2 linked regions of the Lepisosteus oculatus genome follow. The protein of the gene in region 1 purifies or fractionates together with the protein of each later gene. This does not show direct contact. Links are inferred from orthologs where the notes say so. Each region holds a gene or a part of one and is shown on either strand. Other genes may lie near its edges. The genes, in order: mlf1 and dnaJ homolog subfamily B member 6.

Region 1 (10,932 bases):
TACTGTGAAACATTTGATGTCTTCTGACTGTAGCATCTCAGCTTGCTTCTGCGAAAAAAAAGGTCATGGGTCTATGAACAGACTGGCATTTGATGAAAGCAATTACTGGGGATAAATATACACTACACAGAGAGGAGGCAGATTAGTACTTGATAGTTGAGGAGAATGCAAAACCTATGTTTAGCACTTCTGGGCTTTTTAAAACACTGCCAGCTGGTTATCATAAGACCCTTTGCTGGAAGGTGTCTTCAGGCAACACAAGAATGAAACCTTCATGGAATCAAAGTTGAGTTTGTCTCTCAGACACAAGCCTTGCTCTTCTTTAGGCTTACAGCATGTAAGACCCATTTTCTATCCTTCTTTAAAAAGAAGGCAGGATATTGGTAAATAGATAAAAGGCACTCTTTGCACATTAAATTCCTTTCCAGCAACCTAGGAAGCTGCAGGCTGCACAGCTTGTGACTGTTCAATGTTCACCAATACTTTTTTGCCTGTGAAATTGTCCTCCTCACTATGAGAATCAGCACTGCCAAGAAAACAGTATGTATTCATGAGGAAACAAATTAGTTTAACAGAAGAAAACAAAATGGAAGAACAATTGGAAGAAACATTTTAATAAGAATACTGTCAGCAGAACAATGCAGCTCTCGGCTTCTATAAATACATCCAGCTAAAGATAACTCTGATCTTAGACGAGCTGGGTGTTGAGCAGCAACCTTCTCTGACCCCTAGATGACAGACTTTTGTGTTCAATAAGGCCTATAAACCACTTCTACTATTAGGTTACAGGGTACAGCAATTACTCTCCTTGTCCTATTTTCTTTTTGTGTGACCCAAGAACTCTGCTTCATGTAACATTCTTTTAAAAAGAGAGAAAGTGCAAGCCTTAGACATTTCACAGTAAAGAGAAGGCAATGAGTCAAGAAAATACTGAAATAACAATACTTCTGTATCCTATGTGTACTTTTCTGTCTATGGCAGATCAAATACACTTTTATTTACACTTTTTACAGAGGTAAATTATGCCTGACATTTATAACATGGACAAGGCAGCTTTTGTAAAGAGTAACTATCAACATTTATCATAATAGGCATGCCTTGGAACTCTCTTCAACTGCTACATTTTAATGTGCAAAAATAAGAAGATGAAATGTTTTCTGTCTTCTCCAAAGCATTTTATTTTAAACAAATTAAACTACTACTAGGGTATTAATTTAAAAAAAAAACTAAAGAAGCCTTTTAATGTCATAATTCATGTGATTAAGATTGTGACTGAGAACAGAATGCATTGATAAACCCAATACCATTATCCAGGGATGCGAGCTGGCTCAGGTGTCATGTATTACTGAGTAACTCCAAAAAGGACGTTTTGAGATTACTAGCGGCCAGAGTTCTCAGATTTCTCCCTGACACATTTGATAAGGAGTTTATGAAGGCACAGGTGTCATGTGTCATGTGAATCAGTCTCTATAAAAATAGGAACACGTTTAATTCCACACTGAAAAAATCAAAGGGAGAAACAACATTTTGGCTGTTGAGCCTTCTTGGTGTGTCAGGTGTGAGAAGAAGGCAGGACGGCCGAAACGTTGCATTTCTCCTGTTTTTAACGGGGTGAAATTAACATTTACTTCTTCCTTTGCAGCCAGCGCATGTTGACACAACTCCTCAGTCGACCTACAAAAAACAGCCACGTTTTGAGAAACAAAAACAAGTCTCAGACGTTCCCATTTCACCTTATTTTGGGCAACACATCAGTCGGTAAGAGCTACTGCACACATCTGACAGTAGCTGTTACAGTCCTCTCAGAGCATCTATGAGGAGGCTGTAGTATTTGATTTGATATACATAATCCCTACAACGTGACAAAGGATTTGAGGAAACGTGGAGCGTGCTGAACGAGGCACTGTCGTAGTGTGTACAACTTGAGCTGCTACTGAAGCTCTTACCCTGTGTCCCTCTCTTAATGCCATGCTGGCGTTCAGGTTCCCCCTCTGATTTCCGGTTGTCCCATCAGCGATACTCAGGAAAGGGTCTCTGCCGAAGGGCTCGGAGAAACTCCTCATCATCTGCCGCACATGTTCATTGTGTGCTCGGAATGGATCGCTATAGGGGCAAAAGAAAAACGGTAATGTCTACATCTGCATTTAAGATCAAATTAGAAAATGAAAACCCTTAAGGGCCGCACTAAAGTGTGATTACTACTAAACTCTCCTACACGGCACTCATTTACATAAGATATTAAGTACAGATAATTAACTGGGCAGACTGGGAAACTGCGTGGAAGTCAGCTTCTTGTCCTGTGGCCTCAAGTCTGAGAAACGTTCAGTACTGAGCCAGGGAAAGTAACTGCCAATTCATGAGAACGTGTAGAATCTAACAAGTATGAGTGCATAAATAACACAACACTTATGCACTAGTTACATGTTTAGTAGTATCTGTTACTGAAATCTATATAAACAGCTTTCACTAGAACACTTAAGAAAGACAACGCCGTTTTAAGTATGATTCTTTCATTGTAGTCGAGGTATAAGTATAAAAACATGTAAGCCTATTTTTCAGACTGATTTTGCAAACCTTTCCACAAATCACTGATCAAATAGCTGAATACATAAAAGCTTTTGCTGAAGGCATTACTAAGCAGCATGGCTGATGCAGGGAAATAACACTCTGAAAGAAATAAAACTGGAGCACATTATTCTGTTGTTATCAAGTGTACAAATCAGCTTCAATACACAAAGCGAAATTCCAGAACTGTGATTATTTATACAGTAAGATAGTAACACAACCAAAGGGCTTGGCAAGTAAAATCACAAGTAGCGTACTTGTTGATAAATATCTCAGACAGTGTTTATTGATTAAAATGCAACAATCACAAGGTTAATAATTTGTCATGAGAAACACAGGAATCCAAGTATGTTCTAAGTATAGAAATCAATAAATAAACAGGGACTCAACTAGGGGGTTTGAAGAATCACATGGCATTCTTTAATGAAGTACTGTACATACCACCGGTAGTTAAACAGTCATGTTGTTTTGTTACTCTTTACTGTATATCTAAGACGGTTGGACAAAAATAAATCCACATCACAAAGCACCTCACTACAGTCACTGTTTTTCAGACGCAATCCCTCCATATCATTTTGGAAGCAGTTTATCAAGAAAGTAAGATTATACGAGATCTCAAGTATGTACTGTATGCACTTTGTATGCATTTTGTATGCATTTTATTTCAAAACAATAATAAATCTCTACAGCTAGTGCCACAGCTTTTGCCATTGTATTCAATATTTAGTAGAAAAGTTAACAATCTAGCAGCAGTTGTTAGCCAGTAGAGAAAAACTCCCTCAAACAACCAGATTCCGAGCTGTGAAAACACATCTCTTGACCACCCCTCCCCCAAGGAGTGATTTCAATAAGAGTCTTATCCTACATCACACTGCTCAAGAGAGGAGGTGCGCCACAATACTAGTAACTGGACTGTGCTTATTTAGGGGAATATGTTAACATGTAAAGACTATGCCATGATCTCATACACAAGAAAAGATGGAGTAATATATTATTATATGACGGATATATTACGGGGCAGTGAATCAAGAGTTCTAGGTTCACATCTGGATCGTCCGTGTGAAGTCTACATGTTGTCTTCTAGTTCATGTGGGTTTTCTAGTTCTATTTGGCCTCTGTATGTTCTGTGGTGGCCTGGAGTCCTGTTCATGGTCCAGTCCCGTCTAAAGACCTGCACCTACCAGGGAGGTTTGCCCTGACCATCTAAGGATAAGGCAATAATTAAAAAAGGACAGGTGAAAGGATATACTGTACTGTACAATATTCGTGTTGGCTGACTGTAATACCCACAAGTGTGGCAAAATGTTAATGAGCCACTAAAAAAAACATGTTGAATTTCAAAACCTGTGTGTTTGTAGGCATTGATCTAGAATTGCTGTTGCGCATAAATGTCAAATTTAATCTGAAATAATGCACGTCAAATAAAAAAGTTTGATATCGATTTAAAACAAACTACATTGGCAAAATCTCCTAAAAAATCCCTATCCTTTTATAAAAGTTGTGCTCCTTCCTACTTGCGTCTTTTCGGCATACATAATTGCGTGCATTTTCGAGGTAAACACTGAAATCAAACAACCTTTAACTGCAACTGCGGAGTGTGCACTGTGGAAAGCCTGAAGCTGATGGGGATTCTTTAATGGTTGAGCATGGGCACTGAAATTCTTTAAAACTGCAAGCGTTCTGCTAGAAATGATGCAGACTATTCCAATACTACTCGCTAAACAAATCTGTCATGAGTTCAAAGCCACGTGGGCGCTTATAAAAATAATATCAGCTAGTTTTATTTATTTTTTTTAAAGTCCATTCGAGAGAACGTGAAACCCACACAAATCCTCAGAGGGAAGTATGCAGGGATCAGCAATCTTATTTCAGATGTAACCCGGGGCCCCATGTCCCTCCCAAGTCATTGAAAGGCCTTGCCTAGCATGTTGCATAGTTACGCCAAAAATACTGCAAGAATCCGGCGTGTGAAGCCCGACAGCAATAATGTTTAACTTGTTCTGTTTGTTCCCCCAAATGTAGAGCGCAAATCCAGCTCCTTGACACCTTGTGCATGGAGCGCTGGTTTTACTTAATTGAAGACAAAAACGACAGATTTTTTATCTTCAGAAACAAACTTAAAAACTCGCTTTAAACGAAGCCAATAATTCAATAAGCATGCATGCACTTGTCTTGCTTCATTCTGCGCTTTTTCGTCCTTAACAACAAAAATGTAAGAAGCATTTAAACTATGCATTGCCAGTAGAGTAGAATTATTTTGCAGTTACAAATACACAATACTTATCTCAAAATGACCTTTTTTCAATTTTTTAATTGATGTACTCTATAAGGCACTAGACCTCAATACACGTTTACAGAATGAAATCTCTCTCTAAAAAAAAGTCGCAGTAGCCTGAAAGTCGCTTACGCAAAGAATGGATCTTCCTCAAATTCCCTGAGAGTGCTGTTGAACATTTCCGATCCGGGCTGTCGAAGACACAAGACACAGACGACTGACCTGACCTAAACCTAAATTAGCGTGCCAAACTTATCCGCTGCTTCAGGTCGACGAGCGCACCAGCCTTGAGTACATCAGAGAACCGCAGACGCCAACCGCAGACACGTGACTGCTCTCCGGCCCCCTGATTGGCCAGTTATTCTCAGAATTTACTAGAGCGCTGCAAACGCGCAGCTCTCTTAATAGAAGGGCAATGTTGTGGACCGTTGCTATAGCAGCGCAGGCTTATGGCAAAATCTAGAAATCAAGCATTTTTCTCCCGCCAGACGTCAAGTGTGATTTGTTTTCGATTGAATAAAGGTCTTGTATGTGCACAACTACATTTTGCTTCAAATCACAAACTTTTACCGTAAGCAAAATGTAAAATTTGCTACATTTACTGAGAAGAATTAAGTTTTTGCTACATCTTTGCAAAGAATCAACACTCACTTGAGGTGCAATCTAAATTTCTCTGTCTGACTTTGGTGCGTTTAAAAAAAAGGAATGTGGGCAAATATTAACATAACCATAAGTATTTGATTCCTGCACAAGGTAGTGTTATTCCATCAGGAGTACTGGATTTAAAAAAGTTGATCCATAGACTATAGAACTGTTGCTCAACTGGGAAGAAAACTACATTCCAGTCCACCACTTACAGCAAGAACCTGGAATTCTCTGGAGGCTCCAAAATGCCAGCAAAAGGGCCCCAGTATGCTCACCACACACCAGCTATCAGTGGGGAGGAAAACAGAGTGATGAAGCCAGGTCAGAGATGGGGATTATTAGGAGGCCATGACACCAGTGTTTACACACCTCCTCCTTTCAGGAAATGCACTGGGAGTTTTAAAGACCACTGAGAGTCAGGACCTCAGTTTTATGTTGCCTTTTTAGAGTTTAGTGACCGGGTCGATAGGACTCACACAGACCACAGTGTGAGCACCCCCTACTGGCTCCACTAACACCTCTTCCAGCAGCAGCCTTGCCTTTCTCCCCTCCAGGTACTGACCAGGCTCACACCTGCTGAGCTTCAGCAGGCTGCCAGTTGTGAGTTGCAGTTTGATGTTGCTGCTGGCATTCATGCCCATTTGTTTGGAATGATAACTAAGAAAATAAATTCCATCTCTTCTTTCTGATTTCTACTTTCCTACCTTGCATGTACCTTTCAACCATTTCCTCCAGCTGTTCCTGTGTCAGCACTGTGTTTAAAGAGTGAATTATGAGAAACTGCCCCTTCTGAACATGAACACCTCTCAGGACACCTGTGGCACATTCGTTCAGAATGCACCAATTTCTTTAATACGTGTATTGCAAATGTCTAAGCTGTAAGAAATGTTAACTGTTAATAGACGAAGAGCCGGTAAGAAATCATGAGACTATAATCCACTTTCAAAGGGATTTTGATTCAGCCGTGAAGAAGAAACTGGTCAACAGAGGGCTATGCTCCAGGGTTTCCCACGGTCTGCTAGCTTCCAATCCAGCTGGCCTGTCAGTGGCTTAAATGAACCCTAAATGGAATTAATGATATGACTAATTAGATCTTTTTAATCATTTTATGCTCCAAAACTGTTTTCAAGTTACTTCAAGTCCAGAACTTAAACAATGACAAATGCTGTGTGTTAAATGTGTAATGCATATAACTTGCATTAGGGGTTCAAGTAAAGGATGCTAATTTGAGACAAAATCCGGCAGAGGATTGGGTCATGAAGTCCTGTACTGCACATCTTTTCCTATATGGTATTAGAATGCTAGAAAATTCTGGTATCATAGGTAAACTAAGATTGCACAACCTTACATTTTAAATACAACCTCCAGTTCAATGAAGCTAGACATGGAAATTAATAAATGGCAAAAAAAGTCAAGCTTGAAATGATGTGCAGAAAACAAACATCAAAGTTAAATTTGATTTTCAACAAATGTGATCCACTCTGGATCTGAGCGACAGTCTGGTTCTTAATATGTTGCACATAAAAACAAAAACCTTAGTTTTGGAAAAACTAGATTCCCCGGGTTTGGATCTGCGGGTGTAATTTAAACTAAATTTCAATTTGCAATAATGAGTTTTATTCAGTAATTTCAAAATAATCACAAACACCACAAGAAAATCTAAGAAGGGTACCTTCTGTGTTATTTTTTATTTCTAAATTACAAGGTGAGAAATGAACTTATACAAAAGAAAAATACACATAATTTAAGAAAACGCATTCGGGATCTTGAAAATGAATGCTGTTGCACTTCAAAAGCACGCGGAAATATTGCCAGGTTTCAATAACACAGTATCATCAAGGGTTCAGGGCACAGGGCTGCCCATCAGCCTCTCCTGGCGAAGGGACATCAGTCTGTAGAGCCACATCTCCTCTGCTTCCGCCTTGTCAATGAACAGCTGCAGGAGGGGGAGAAAGAGAAGAGCTCAAGTTAACACCGCTGCTAAACCCTGCTCCAGCACTGTGGCAGTTTCAGTGTGACAGACTTCAGCTTGGTAGACCTGCAGTGGCCAATACTTTTCTCGGAGAGCCACAATCCAGCACATTTTATGGGTCACCCCTTCCATTCTGAACTCCTCAACACGTGATGCAGTTTCATCTGAACCACTCAAGTAGGCGATCAGTTCAACTAAGTGGATCAGAGACTACGTGAGATGAAAATGACCACATCTAGTCCCTCCAAAGCTATACAGCTGGCCACTTTTTACACATGGAGGATGTTAAGGTGACTGAAAAGACCTGTTGGATTGTGGTTCTCCACTGCATGAAACCTACACTGAGTTTTCTGAGGCTGGGACAGTTCCTAGCAATAGTGGACACTTTTTTAAATAACACTTGCACCACGGACAAACCATTCAGAACATTTGTTAAGATGGAAGGGGGGGTTCGGAGGCACTGTGGCTAAGGATCTGTGCCTGTGGCTGGAAGGTTGCCGGTTCAAATCCCGTGGCCGGCAGAGGAATCCTACTCCATTGGGCCCCTGAGCAAGGCCCTTAACCCCAGCTGCTCCAGGGGCGCTGTATAAATGGCTGACCCTGCACTCTGACCCCAAGGTTCTCTCTCCCCACATCTGTGTGCCTGTGTCTCTCATGGAGAGCAAGCTGGGGTATGCGAAGAGACAAATTCCTAATGGAAGAAATTGTATATGGCCAATAAAATGATCTCTCTGATCTCTTCTCTCAGTACATTCTCTCATCCATTCAGGTGGAAATGGCACCTTTGCATCCTTCCTTCAAGGATGCAGTGGGATCCAGCCTTGATACAATGTTTTTTCTGTGTATCCTCCAGCACAGACACTGCTACACTCCAGCCACAGAGAAGCTGCCGAGCCCGGCTTTAGCTGTAGGCATTAATATCTGCTGTAGGCATCTGTGTACTAGAAATCTGAACTGTGGCTGACACCTGCTGATATTAAATAGGCAATTCCACAACAAAATCACAATCTATGAACTTTCCCTTGCAATTTAACAACTTAAACACAACCCGAAAAATTGATGAAATGTTGCATTAATTTATTAGCAGTGAACTGTGCACATGGTTTAAAGCAGCGCAATGGTGAACAGCTGGTTCATGTCCTGCATCATCGACAGCTGTTCGTTTAGAACCAAACATAGATGCATTTGTACAGGACTACATGAAAGCTATGGGAGTGATTGCTACATTTCAAAAGGCAGCAATTGCACTCCAGTTGATAGAAGTACAGTATACAGGGTTTAGGATTACACAGCTCCCAAGAGGCAATGCCATTCAAACTTGAAGGCAATAGCTTTAAGTGAGCACAGCGGCTCAGTGGTTAGTGTTGCAGCCTCGTAGCTCCAGGGCCCATGCCGTAGCTCCAAGTCTGGCCTCAGGCATTTGTCTGTGTGGAGCTTGCATGTGTTCTCACCACAAAAGCCCCCACTGGGCGTTCTGCTCCCCTCCCGCATCCCATACATAAGCAGGCCAAGTTTTAATCACTTTTCTAAACTGTCCTTTGTAGCAATGATACACTCAGCAGGGATCTTACAACCATTTTTCAGGATCACAGTAAACTTGTGGGAAACTTCCCTGAGGTTTCTATTGCCTTTCCATGAATTCAAGCTCTCAGATTTTAAATTTGCATTGGGGAGCTCTTGCATTGAGCTCTTGGAATTGGGAAGATCAGTATACTCAAATCACAGAGCTGTAAAAGAATTTGAAGGCACATGGCAGAATTTTCTTGTCAGAATTGAACACTGATTACACTAATTTTAAAGGGCAGATTTAAAACACCTCCAGCTCAAAACCTCCACCTTGTACTAACAGTCTGGGAGTGATATTGTATATTATGAATTAAAATGCATCAAGAAATTCAATTGCACCCTTTCTGTACTACCTCTTTTGTATGTGCTAAACCTCTCACTGGATAAGTCAAGTGGCTGTAAAATGTATCATGTGGCTGATGACTGCTGGAGAGAGCTCTGACTAGGAACCACAAGTATATTTAAAAAAATGCTTTTAATATTGAAATACTTATACACAGCATTTAAAATAAATGCATGTTAGCAATTATTGAACGTGACCTGCCTTTTGAAGTTTGAAATATACGTTTCATGTTAAAATGCTTTTGTCTGTATATGAAGATGTTTTATCATTTTATAGAAATGAGTCTTATTGAGAATGAACTAAGTCATAGATGAATAGTTTGGCCAAAATAATTGTGTTTTACATATTCAATTTACGGTCTCCAACATTTCACACATGTATATTTTGGTTCAAAGAAACACCTTGAAGCATATTATTTATTTTCTATAGGAAAAGGTGAAATCTAAACTGAAAGATATTATGTCAACTGTCAATATGCGTACTTTACAAATTTGAAATGATGAATACAACATAGCACGTTTTGCTACCAGAAAGTGCCACACATGCACAGATTCAGTATATGTGCTTTACATATAAAAAGGATATAGCATATAAAAACACAAAATAAACCATAAAATTAAAATTGCAGTGCATGAGTGAAATTATTTAATTATTATCCAAACTTCTCCTCCCTCTCCCTTAATATATTGCTCACATAGATCACATGTAACTAAATTTTAAAACATTAAAACATCCACTCTGCTTCGTATGACTTTGGCTTTATTGAAAATGTCTGGTGATCTCACAGCCCATTGCATTTCATCCAAGAACATTCTACAGATGACAAGAGATACTTTATTTACACATTATTTAAATACATTGATACTCTAATTATTTACACTAGATAATGTTAAAAAGCAAACAATGTTTACATGTGCCAAAGTGTTGTTTATCTACCCATATGTACTGTATATCGAGAGGGTTCAGTAAAAGATGAGCACTTTTCCAGTTTGCCCTTAGCACTACTCTACCCAAGCCTGTGATACAAATACAGTTTGTGGGCTGTATAACGTGGAGGAGCTTGAAGCTTCTGCACAGAACTGTAGTGAAATATGTAGGGACTCATGAGAAGTTTGAAAACCTATAAAAAGTACAGGACACGCCTCCTCAACATCATCAAAATCAAAGAGGAGGTTCACAAAATACAGAGGGAAAGAATAAATTGGAACATTGTGCATTTAAAACTAAATATAACTTTTTCCCCCCCAGATATTCTCTATATGCATACAATATTGAAATGCAAACAGGTTTTTACTTTTTGATTTGTCTGTACCAAACATATCAATGTACATCTGGATTTTTGCACTAAATTGACATTTAGGTGCAGTTCATCAGGGGTCTGAATAATAATTCAACAGCTGTATACTGTGTATGTTGCTCATTTCAGTTTGATAGGTTAAATGCGTGGATTTAACCCTAATATAGACCCATCTGATGCATCTACTCACATTGGGATGAGCCAGGGAGTCATTCTCCTGGTACCGGATTGATGTAGGGATGCTGCTGACTTCGTGCTGCTCACTTTCC
Region 2 (10,836 bases), on another chromosome or scaffold:
ACTACTTTTGTACTTTGAGCGCCACAATCAGAATAATGTCTTTCCTTTCAAACTCAACCAGTGAATAATCCAAGGGCTTGTGTGGCACCCCAACGCCACCGCACTGCAAGTTGGGGTTTCAATGCTTTTCAACCCACAATTTTTGCCAAACCGATTATCACTTAGACCTTGCAATAATTATAATAGTGACAGAGTAGGTTGAGCAAAAGCATAATCTTTCCTCACGATTTGCAGGCATGGATGTGTTAAGGTGGCTATAATATTTGCAGTGAGCACTGACTCCAGGACCAGGTTCATGCTAATAGATGAATAACGAAAGATGGCAGGGAGAGTGAACAGCTGGACAGGGCGGCAAGTGAAGTAATTAATCTACCAGTATGTTGATGGACTGGGGGAGGAAACCAGAGCACAGGGGTGCAGTGGATAGCATTACTGCCTCAGTTCAATTCCTGCCCTAGGACATTATCTGCTTGGAAAACTGACAGATGTTCTCTAGGTGTGAGACTGTGTCTGTGCGTCTGCCCTGTGTCCCAGTCTAAGTGTACCTTGCCTTGCACCCATTACTTGCTTGGGTCAGCTCCTTCTCCCCCTCAACACTGAGGTGGGAGAAATAGTGAGAAAATGGATGGGTGGACAATGGCTAGACCGCTGCAATGTTAAGCAAACACAGGCGTCCCCCGCTTTTTGCGGCTTCCGTCTATGCGAATGCGCTTTTACGCGACTGACCCCCTTAATGCAAAAAAAAATTCATTTTTACGGGATCTGTGGCGGTAGAGCAAATTCCCGCGAAACAAGCTATAGACCTGCTTCTTCCCGCCAAAGCCTGCCCAACGAGTCGCTCCTCTTTCAGTCACGCACTCGCCACCGCGGTTTGCGGGTCTGAGCTACTTATGCGGCGCGTTTGCCATTTCCATCTGTTCCTGCTATAGCTGCTGCTGTTATTTTGGAGTCAAAATCAGCACCCACATCTCGGTCCCCTGAGCCTTACGGTCTGCCTATTTTGGCGAGCATTGATTTATTTTTAGTTAGAATAATGTGTCAAATAACATTTACGTTAAGTTTAGTTTTAATTCCTAATGTATGTCAGCATGTATTTGTATGATCCAAATGCATTTGGAACACTACATTTAACACCGTTCCACACAACCCCTTTTTCCCCCCTGCAGGGTTAAGGTACCGCTGATGCGAGGTTTTCGTGGAATGTAACCTTCCCATAAAACGGGGGACGCCTGTACAAGTCCAGCCCCCCCTCATGTTAGCAAGACAGATAAGCAAGGTCAGTTCTGTACTTCAGGGCTCACTCGCTTATCTGCTTCCAACTCACAGTGTCCAGACAACGATACAACAGTACAGATAAGCAGTAGCCCACGCTAATGTCCACCAACCACTTGTGTAACATGTCCAACACATAATCCCTCGATCACAACGCATGGATTGTGACATCAAAACAGATGCCCCTGAACCAAAGGGATTCCCATCCCTAAAACTGCTGCTGCTGTTTTATTTAACTGGGATGCAAGTCTCAAGATCTTGCGTCAGGACAGAAAGTCTGTACATCACTGACAGAAGTCCAATTAGTTAATGTGATGTAAATGACAGTTCAGTGCAAACAGATCACATACCTTGTCTAAATTACATTTCTGTTTATTCAACAAATGTGCAATCTCAGAATTATACTTCTTAAGTCCATTTCTGCTGTTTCTCCAACATTTTTTTCAGCTTGTTTATAGTTAAGAAATTAAGTAATGCCTCTAAAAGGTAGCCTTAAACACAGGGAAAAAGGTTAAATACGTCATGACATTTTATAAATTATATATAATTAATGACCAAATAAAATAAAAGTTTCTGGGTTCACAATCCTCTTATCTTCCAGACAAGGAAAGAGCAGATCTGGTTTATTTCCTCATGTGACCACTCCATTAATCACGGTGCGCTTTATCATTTCATGAAGGCAGCTGGCCCAACACACAGATACAAAGGCCTCATCTCCAACAGTCCTGAATTACGCAAACAAGAGAGCATCATGCAGGTCAATACGCTGACTTTTAGACTATAGCCTTACTCCCCTGAAACCGAAAGTCTTGATGGAAGGTCCTTCTCTCACAATCCATCACACTGTATGATTTTATGTTAAAAGCGGGATAGGATTAGCGTTTGCAACTTTACCACCATCTTTAGAACTGGTGCAAGACAACCTATCTTTACACAACCAAAACTACCTCTCAAAGATACTGGCAAGCCAGCTACTTCATACGTAGCCAGCAAACTATCTAAGTGTCTATGTTAAAGACATTCAATACACTTTGAAGTGCTTGCTCCAGAAACCAAACACAGATCTCAGAAGCAACACTTTTCAAATGGCTTGAACAGAAATATACCATTTGCTAAGAAACTGTATCGCTGGGTCTCATGGCTGTGTGTGTAATATAGGCACCAGTAACAGCAGCTCTTTCCTAATAAAGCACAGAGGGGACTTTAGAAATGAATCCATAGATTGAGTGCAAACCTGTTGAAAAGTAACACATTTAAAGCACTGTAGCAATGGCTTTTCTGTGCCACATGCACAGGGTATTAAGTGGATTAAGAGGACATCCACAACCGGGAATGTATTCTGGTGTCAACCGCAGCTCACTAAAGCGTACTCCCTCATGCTAATACACGAGCAGACGTTATGAAAATCTTGAAATTTGCTTAAATCAACACAAATGTCCCCTACAGCTATTCAGGTTTTTTTTTTTTACTGTAGAAAAGTCCAAATAGTGACAGCTCAGCAGCAGTTTTACCTAATTTCACACGCGGTGTCAAAACTAGACCGGCACACACATTTTTCAAAAGGGCAGAAGTAACTCTTCCTCGCCCCGGATTCGCACGGAAAGCTCTCCCGGCGTCAGCAAAGGAAATGTTTACAAATCGAAAATAACAACAGCCCTAAAGCCAAAGAGGGAACTGAAAAGAAGAGCCACAAACCGAGGGCCGTGTCTCAGCATTTAACAAATCAGCCCATCACGAAAAGTTCAGGTGGATGCCACTCATTGGTGGTGGTGGAGGGGAGTCCCCATTACCTGTGAAGCGTTTTGAGTGGAGTGTCCAGAAAAGCGCTATATAAGTGTAACCAATTATTATTATTATTATTATTATTATAAGTCACAGACTGTAAACTACAGCCAGCCTCACGTGTACTCTGAGGAGAGGGAAGGAGAAAGTGCCCCATGGACGCAGGGGCAAGACTACCTTCATTTGAACCGGCTAATCCAGTCCAGGGACCAGGGCGACAGGGATACACGGTTCTCGGCGCCTGCCGGTGTGGACAGGGGGGGTCTTTAGTGGGGACGTCCCCACACTCATCCAGACACGCCTCGGTCTTCGGTGCGGATTGAAAACACCGGTGTACAAAGCCAACCGCAGGCGGGCCCAAGCCGTGTAGTACCTCCCGACACCGCTTGCCTCGCAAAACAAAAACACTGGTTACGTCCAGTTTTGCCTTTATGCCCCGCCGACATCCTAAGAGCGGCCCTGTCAACAGCGATAACATTGCTCACAGAGAGCAGCAGGTACTGGCGTTGGTCACTGGCCGCGGTGAGGGGCAGCGACACCAAAAACACAGTCACCCCGGGTCGACCCGGACCTGGGTTCACCCAGTGCGGTCCGTGCTGCGAGGTTTCTCTTTGAGAGGTGTTTTGCTCGAAATGGGGTTCCCAGCTCACGCACGTACTAAATCCAATACTCGCATCTAAGAGCAATTAAGGGACGACGCGACTCTTCAATCATGAAATACTTCACAGCAGAACCGGGGCGGCGGGGGGAGGGAGAGAGAGAGAGTGTCTACGAACCCACCATCCTCGTAATCAGGGGAGACCCCGTGTTTTGAGGGGGACACTTTCCTCACCACTATCCTGGAGGACAAAAGATCCTCCCCCCCCCGCCAATCTCTGCCGTTTTCACGCTTTCGGGGTTCTAGTCATACAGACTCCGGGGACCGACCCCCCCGGATGAACAACCCTCCCCCGATATCGCTGCGACACGCACGGGCATATATTTCTCTGGATCACATCTTAACCAGCTCGGCAAATGTATTCAGAGCACGCAGTATTTGCACTCTCCCTTCGCCATCCTCCACGACGTGCACTCACTACGCACAAACGCAACCGTCGGCGGTCAGGACAACATCAGACACAGACTCACCTCCCCGTTCGGCTACCAAGACCTCCCTTTTGTTGCTGTTGTTTTATACTGTATAGTGTACGTTTTGTACTCTAAAGGCGCCGCACAAGAGCAACTTCTGGTGCCCCTGCTTGTTCCTCGGCACTTGTAACGTCACTTCCTGCTACAGCCAAAGCCGCAAACTCTAATGGGGGGAGGAGGGGAATTTATCTTTGAAATGTTCTGGAAATTTGTGGTTGACGTGAACCGGCGTCTGCTTTGTCGTCTTTAATGTTGTGGTTAATAATATTTATTTTGCCAGATCCCTTCATACACAAAATACAAACGCGCTACCCACATAAAACCATTTCCAGAATGTTCTGTAGTAATCAAAATAGGACGGACGTGTACTGATGTTCTTACCTGTGGTATTTGTGAGGCATTTTGAGATTTTTGGATTAAGAGTATAGAAGAATTACCCTTTATACGTGTGCTTTAATTTGTGTGTTTCTTACGTAAAAAGTATAGCATATTGCAATTTGTGTGTATTACAGCACAACAGTATAGTATTGTGATACACTAGTGTAGTACTATACAATTTACTATAGTGCTCACTACAGTACGTTACTACAAGGCCTACACTATTACAGTCACGTTCTGTAATATGTTGTGTAGTACTATAGTTCTGTGCTTAATAACCACACAGGTTGATTCTTGCATTTGTAGATTGTTTTTCTTATCAAAGGATTGTGGATTGTAAATTGTAGAATTAATCTATATCGATGCCATAGGAATACCATGTATTATATACTGAATACACGTTATATACTTATATAACATGGGTATGTCATATATACTAATACTTTATAGTTTATGGACATAACAACTACTTGCATGGAATTAATCTATATCAATGCCATAGGAACACCATGTTTTATATACTGAATACACGTTATATATTATATAACATGGGTATGTCATATATACTAATACTTTATAGTTTATTGACATAACAACTACTTGCATGGAATTTGGTTCAGTGAGCACATACAGAGGTTGAGCAGAGTGGGAAGGGTTGGCTAGGATCTTAGAGATCAGAGAATTCAGAGAATTTTGTGTTTCAATTTCAAGAGGCAGAGGGAAGGTGGCATCCTTTAAATTTGGAGGCGATATACAGTACATGACTTGTCCTGGGCAGAAGTGTTGCCATACCACGCAGTGAGGGAGTGAGGGAGAAGCTCAAAACACTCTCAGTGTGGAAAAGGGTCATTGCTTCTTGTGACACTCCAGAATTCTTCAGCTGTGTCAGGAAGAACAGCCTTTGGTGAGCTTTCTTGACCAGGAACTTAAAATTCTCCACCACGTCCACAGCCTGACCAGTGATGAATAGTGCTCTTTTGCTTTGCCTAAAGTTCTTTTATTTTGCTGACATTTTGTTCCAGTTTGTTTAGGCTACACCAATCAATTAATTCAGCTATTTCATTCCTGTTTACTGATTCATCATCGTTTGTGGTGAGCCCTACAGGAGTAGCGTCATCAGGAAACTTGAACATTTTTTACAGAATCTGAATGTGAAATACAGTCATTTGTAAACAGAAAGTAAAGCAAAGATGATAAGACACAACCCTGATGAGCTCCTGTGCTCCTAATACTCATAATACAGTAATACATGTGCTATAGTGTGTTAGATATACTGTAGAATAAAAACATATTCAATTTACAGTGCAATATTATACAGCACTCACAGTATTCATATAAACATTATATATTTTGCTTATACATTATTTTGCTTAAAATGTTACTTCAGTAAATGTCAACCTCCTATACCTATCAACTCCACCACATTTTGGAATAGTAAGCTTTTATAACATGGATAGCACAATACGTAATGCACGTCTTTATGCTGGGATATTCTCTAATAGAGTAGTTTTATATTAGCATAACCTTTAAGAGCCAGAATTAAAAACCGTCACAATAGTTTTAATTTCTGTAGATTTTAGATATAGTGCCATAGAAATGCTCTCAAAAAAACAAACAGACACTATTGGTTCTCCTACCTTGCATAGCATTATTAATGCATTTCTGTATATGTTGTACATTTACTTTAAAAAGATTATAAAATAAAAAATCACAAGAAACACAAACAATTAAATTAGAATAACTAAAAAGAAATACAATTGACTTACTCACAGGAACACCTTTTCAAAATAGATTTTAAATGTTGACAGCTGCATAGTCCCTATATGAGTTGTGGGGATATTTAAACTTAAGTTTTACAAGATATGCTTGTACAGTATAAGGAAATAAGCAGTGGATGTCAAAGGAACATTAATACATTAAGTTAACAAAGTTTTTTATGCATTCCCAGTTAAATTGAATTTTATGATAAAATATTTAAAGTATAAAAATAAAATCTAAACACTACATATTGTATGGTACAGAACTTCAAATTTGCAGTAGTTAATAAAATGTTAGAGAATGGCTTTGAACCAGGGGTCAGAGGACCTCAGAAACACAGGTAGACTTTTCACCCATTTTCTTACTCTTATATAGTGCTTTTCTGGACACTCCACTCAAAGCACTTTACAGGTAATGTGGACTCCCCTCCACCACCACCAATGAGCGGCATCACCTGGATGATGTGAGCCAAAGTGCAGCCAAACTGCACCAGTACACTCCAGCACACACCAGCTATCAGTGGAGAGGAGAATACCGTGATGAAGCCAATTCATAGATGGGGAGTTTTAGGAGGCCATGACTGGTAAAGGCCAGGGGGGGAATTTAGTCAGAACTCCAGGGTAGCAATACTACTCTTTCTGAAAACTACTTTATAGTGGCTTTATGATTTCAGAATAAATGCACCTGTCCCTGGAATGTTCCTCTGTCAGGCAGTGAGTGTGAAGTAAAGATTCAACTATGAAGGCCTAACAGAAACAACCCTATCACTGAGACACTGCCTAGATCAGACTATACCGTTAAAGCAGGTGGGCAAGGAAGAAAATGGTTCAGGATGTCATCGTAAAGCCAGTTTTGACCTTGAAAGAGCAACAGACTTCAATGGCTGAGATGGGAGAAAGCTATCCATGAATCAATATCTCAGTCTCTCCACAAAGCTGGTCTGCATGGCAGAGTAAAAGGAAGGGAGCTATTTTTGGTCCAAATGCAAAGCGAAATATCTAGTTGCCTAGTCAAAGTCACAATTTCAATCTAATAGTACATATGTAGCAAGACTTGAAATTGCTGTCCTTTTTCAATCCCTGCCAACCTTACATCGCTGCCTCCCAGCTCTGGGGCCCTGGGTCCTGGATTTGGGGTATTTTCAGTGTGGAAAACTTTCTGTGTGTTTGTGTGTTATCCATGTTTTTGTGTGGGTTTCCCCCCGATGTTGTGGTTTCATTCCACAGCCCAGAAGCATATTGGTAGGTTAATTGACTAAGGGTGGAAAATACGCCCTAGGTGTGAATATGTCTGCCCTGCAATGGCTTAGTGTCCTTCTAGGATGCATCCTTCCTTATGACTACTGCTTGCTGAGATAGGCTCTGGCTCCTTTGCAACCCTGAACTGGGTCAGACCCCATGTTATCCTTCACAAGGAAAATTGTCACATGTTCAAAGCTATCAAGATTGTTGATACCAGTTCAAATACAAACTTCCTATGAAATCTGTCATGAACACTTAGACCTCTGTCACAAAGGCACAGACAGCTTCTTTTGTTTTCCCTTGAGGATTGTTATTAGCAATGAAAAGAGAGGCTGCCACTGAGATCTTAGAAGAAAGGCGATCTAAGCAGCATCTCTAGAAATGTTTTCAGCAATCAGTTTGTGTGACACTGACAGCTTCTGCAACTGGAATTCATGCCACAGAAAATATTTCTCACTGCCAAAAGCTATTTGATGAAGAAGTATTTCTGTAATGCAATCACCAGAACAGTTTGAGAACAACCTGGTTAAATGTCTCCTTATTCTTCATGACAGAGCAAAAGTCACGTAAGGTTCAATCTGCCATTAGCAACTGTAGTTTTGAGGAACTGAATCATCCACCATACAGGCATTATTTCACTTTCAGGGACTGTATATTTTTTCTTCAGAAGTTTGAAATTTGAAAAGGTTTGGTGGAGAAGACCATTTGTGAAATTGAAGAAGTATGTCAGTGTGGGTTGAAATCCACTTCTGTTCTCAGACTTGGTTCTAGAATACAGAATTCAAAAAACAATAACTAGACCAGGGATGCTGTTGACAAATAATGGAAATAAACTGCAGCTTGGTTTAGACAGATTACATTTTTAGTAACCCTGCCCCCCATATGTATTTGGCTAGGATTTCAAATCTTTTCATAAATTCAATCAAGGCTATTTTAAATAATTGAACCTCCCCTGAAGCACAAATGCATGGGCATTCATAAGTAAATTCCAACTGTCCAAACTGAATTGACTGTCCAAATGAAAAAGAATCATCCTTATTTTTCATTGAAATGTGTTGCTTAAGAAAGCAACTGAAGACAACTATTCAGAAACACATGGAAACAGCAAAACCCTACTACCAGCCAGCAGCCATATCACCCTGTAACTTACAACTTGTAACCCACTGCTAAGCAGGTGTGAACCTGGTCAGTACCTGGATGGGAGACTTCCTAGGAAAATGTAAGGTTTCTGCTGGAGGAGGTGTTAGTGGGGCCAGCAGGGGGCGCTCACCCTGTGGTCTGTGCGAGTCCTGATGAGGACACTATACTGTAAAAAGGTGCCATCCTTCAGATGAGATGTAAAACCAAGATCCTTACGTTCTGTGGTCATTAAAAATCCCAGGACATTTCTCAAAAAGAGTAGGGATGTAACCTCTGTGTCCTGGCCAAATTTCCCATGGGCCTTTATCAATCATAGCCTCCTAATAATCCCCTTCTATGAATTGGCCTCATCACTCTGTTCTACTCCCACTGATAGCTGATGTGTGGTGAGTGTTTTGGCCCAGATCGGTGGTGGTGGAGGGGAGTCCTCATTACCTGTAAAACGAGTGTAGTGCCCAGAAAAGCACTATATAAGTGTAAAGAATAATTATTATTATTACTAAATTTAGAAACACTTAATGTTTAATTGTGTTCCAATTGGCCTGTGATAAAAACTCAGCCCACTACTTACATTTCTTGTACCACGGTTCATCTCTGCCTAGAAATTACAAAACCAGGGAGACAGTGTCAGCAGTGTTAGAGAAGGTGACAGACAAACAACTCACCGAAAGAGCACCACCTGCTTTATAAACAAGGATGAAACCAAGGAGCTCATTCAAATCACTCAATGCCATCTGCTGTCAAGGTCTCAGAATTGCAGCTAGAACATTTATAGTCTGAGCTGTTGAGGATAATACAATTTAATTTAAGCTTTTCTGTTTACAATATGATTTGTTTTCTGTTGAATACATTATGATGATGTGTTTGTTCCATGTACTGTACTTATTACCTTCCTGTCAGGTACTTACACATGCTGATGTACTTACTTTCTTCCAGCCTTGTACAAGACACTAAGAAATATACATATTCAAGCAAAAATGTACTGTAAATAAACCAAAACAAATGACAAATGACACAAAATACTGTATGAAATATCAAATATAATTGCCTTTGGAAAATAACACATTAAATTCCTTAATCCTTTTTAACAAAATAAAGCAAGATGCAGAAAATTGTGATTTATGTCATTTTGAACAAACAGGAGTGAACCTCATATCACCATGGAGCTAAGTATTCTGTACATACATAATATAGTCTCTACTGTATGTGCATAATGTATGGCCTTCTTCAGGGCTACTTTAGCCCAGGGGAAGAGGAGTTGTTTTTTTTCAAGGAAATAAAGTCTTTAGTTCATTTTGGTTTCTGTTTCAGGTTTCTGCCAACAGCATCCTCTATGTCATCCTACACTGCCCACCCTAAGGGTTTCTGTAGGTGTTCCAGGTCGTATTTATATTTCTTTCACGGCCTACAGTTTTCTTGCAAACAGCTGGGTGAACGAGCCCATATAATCTCAATATTTTTATCTGGATACTGTAGTGCTCTATTTTTATTCCAGATTTTCTTTATTGAAAAAAACCTTCAATGAAAAACATTCAACTACTGGGCCAACTCAAGGGAACAGCTATGTATTTACCCAGCAATACTGAAAGATTGAAGTTACTTACTGCATCACTATTCTAAGGTCCTTACCATATTTTTGAACTCTGCAAAGTGTTAAAAAATTGAGCAAAATATGTATAGAAAGAATTAATTCAGCATTCTTGTCTGAATATGCTGAATGGACGTCTTCCTTAAAATAACGTTCTGGAAATGTTTGTCCAAACATTTAAGATACGGTTGCTATTTTAAGTGTATGTTAATAAATTCTTAACATATAGATAACGCTACAGGTATATAGTAGAATTGTACAGTACAGTCGGTTGTGTCCTTAATTGTTCTCTGCACAAAGAGGAGTTAAAATCAATATGATTCTTGTGAGCAGGGCTCTCAGAAATGCAAACGGACACTGGGTCAATGAAAATGATGTATGTCTATTAATTACATACATTGTGGCGGTCAATATCTAATTAGGCCATTGTGAAGGCATATAGAAGCCTCTCTAAGCCAGGATTAGTACTTAGATTGGATTACTTAATAAAGGGATAGACATCGTTTAAGACATATTGCACATAAGACAGCAACATAAAAAATTGTTCGA

The links.
Region 2: the proteins of mlf1 (region 1) and dnaJ homolog subfamily B member 6 purify together in Homo sapiens (affinity purification with mass spectrometry; 3 studies listed by BioGRID and IntAct, counting the BioPlex papers as one, with this or other methods). This does not show direct contact. The link is inferred for Lepisosteus oculatus from reciprocal best matches to the Homo sapiens genes MLF1 and DNAJB6.

The regions. Positions count from the first base shown.
Region 1 is NC_090708.1:6,457,074-6,468,005, forward strand, and holds the start of mlf1 (myeloid leukemia factor 1), read right to left. Parts: upstream 5,168-10,932; 5' UTR 5,020-5,167; coding exon 4,973-5,019; intron 2,104-4,972; coding exon 1,947-2,103; intron 1-1,946. Other genes in the region: rsrc1 (serine/Arginine-related protein 53), read right to left, coding at 7,329-7,421, 10,854-10,932. UniProt on the Homo sapiens protein: Involved in lineage commitment of primary hemopoietic progenitors by restricting erythroid formation and enhancing myeloid formation.
Region 2 is NC_090701.1:12,327,524-12,338,359, reverse strand, and holds the start of dnaJ homolog subfamily B member 6, read right to left. Parts: upstream 4,329-10,836; 5' UTR 4,183-4,328; intron 1-4,182. UniProt on the Homo sapiens protein: Has a stimulatory effect on the ATPase activity of HSP70 in a dose-dependent and time-dependent manner and hence acts as a co-chaperone of HSP70. Plays an indispensable role in the organization of KRT8/KRT18 filaments.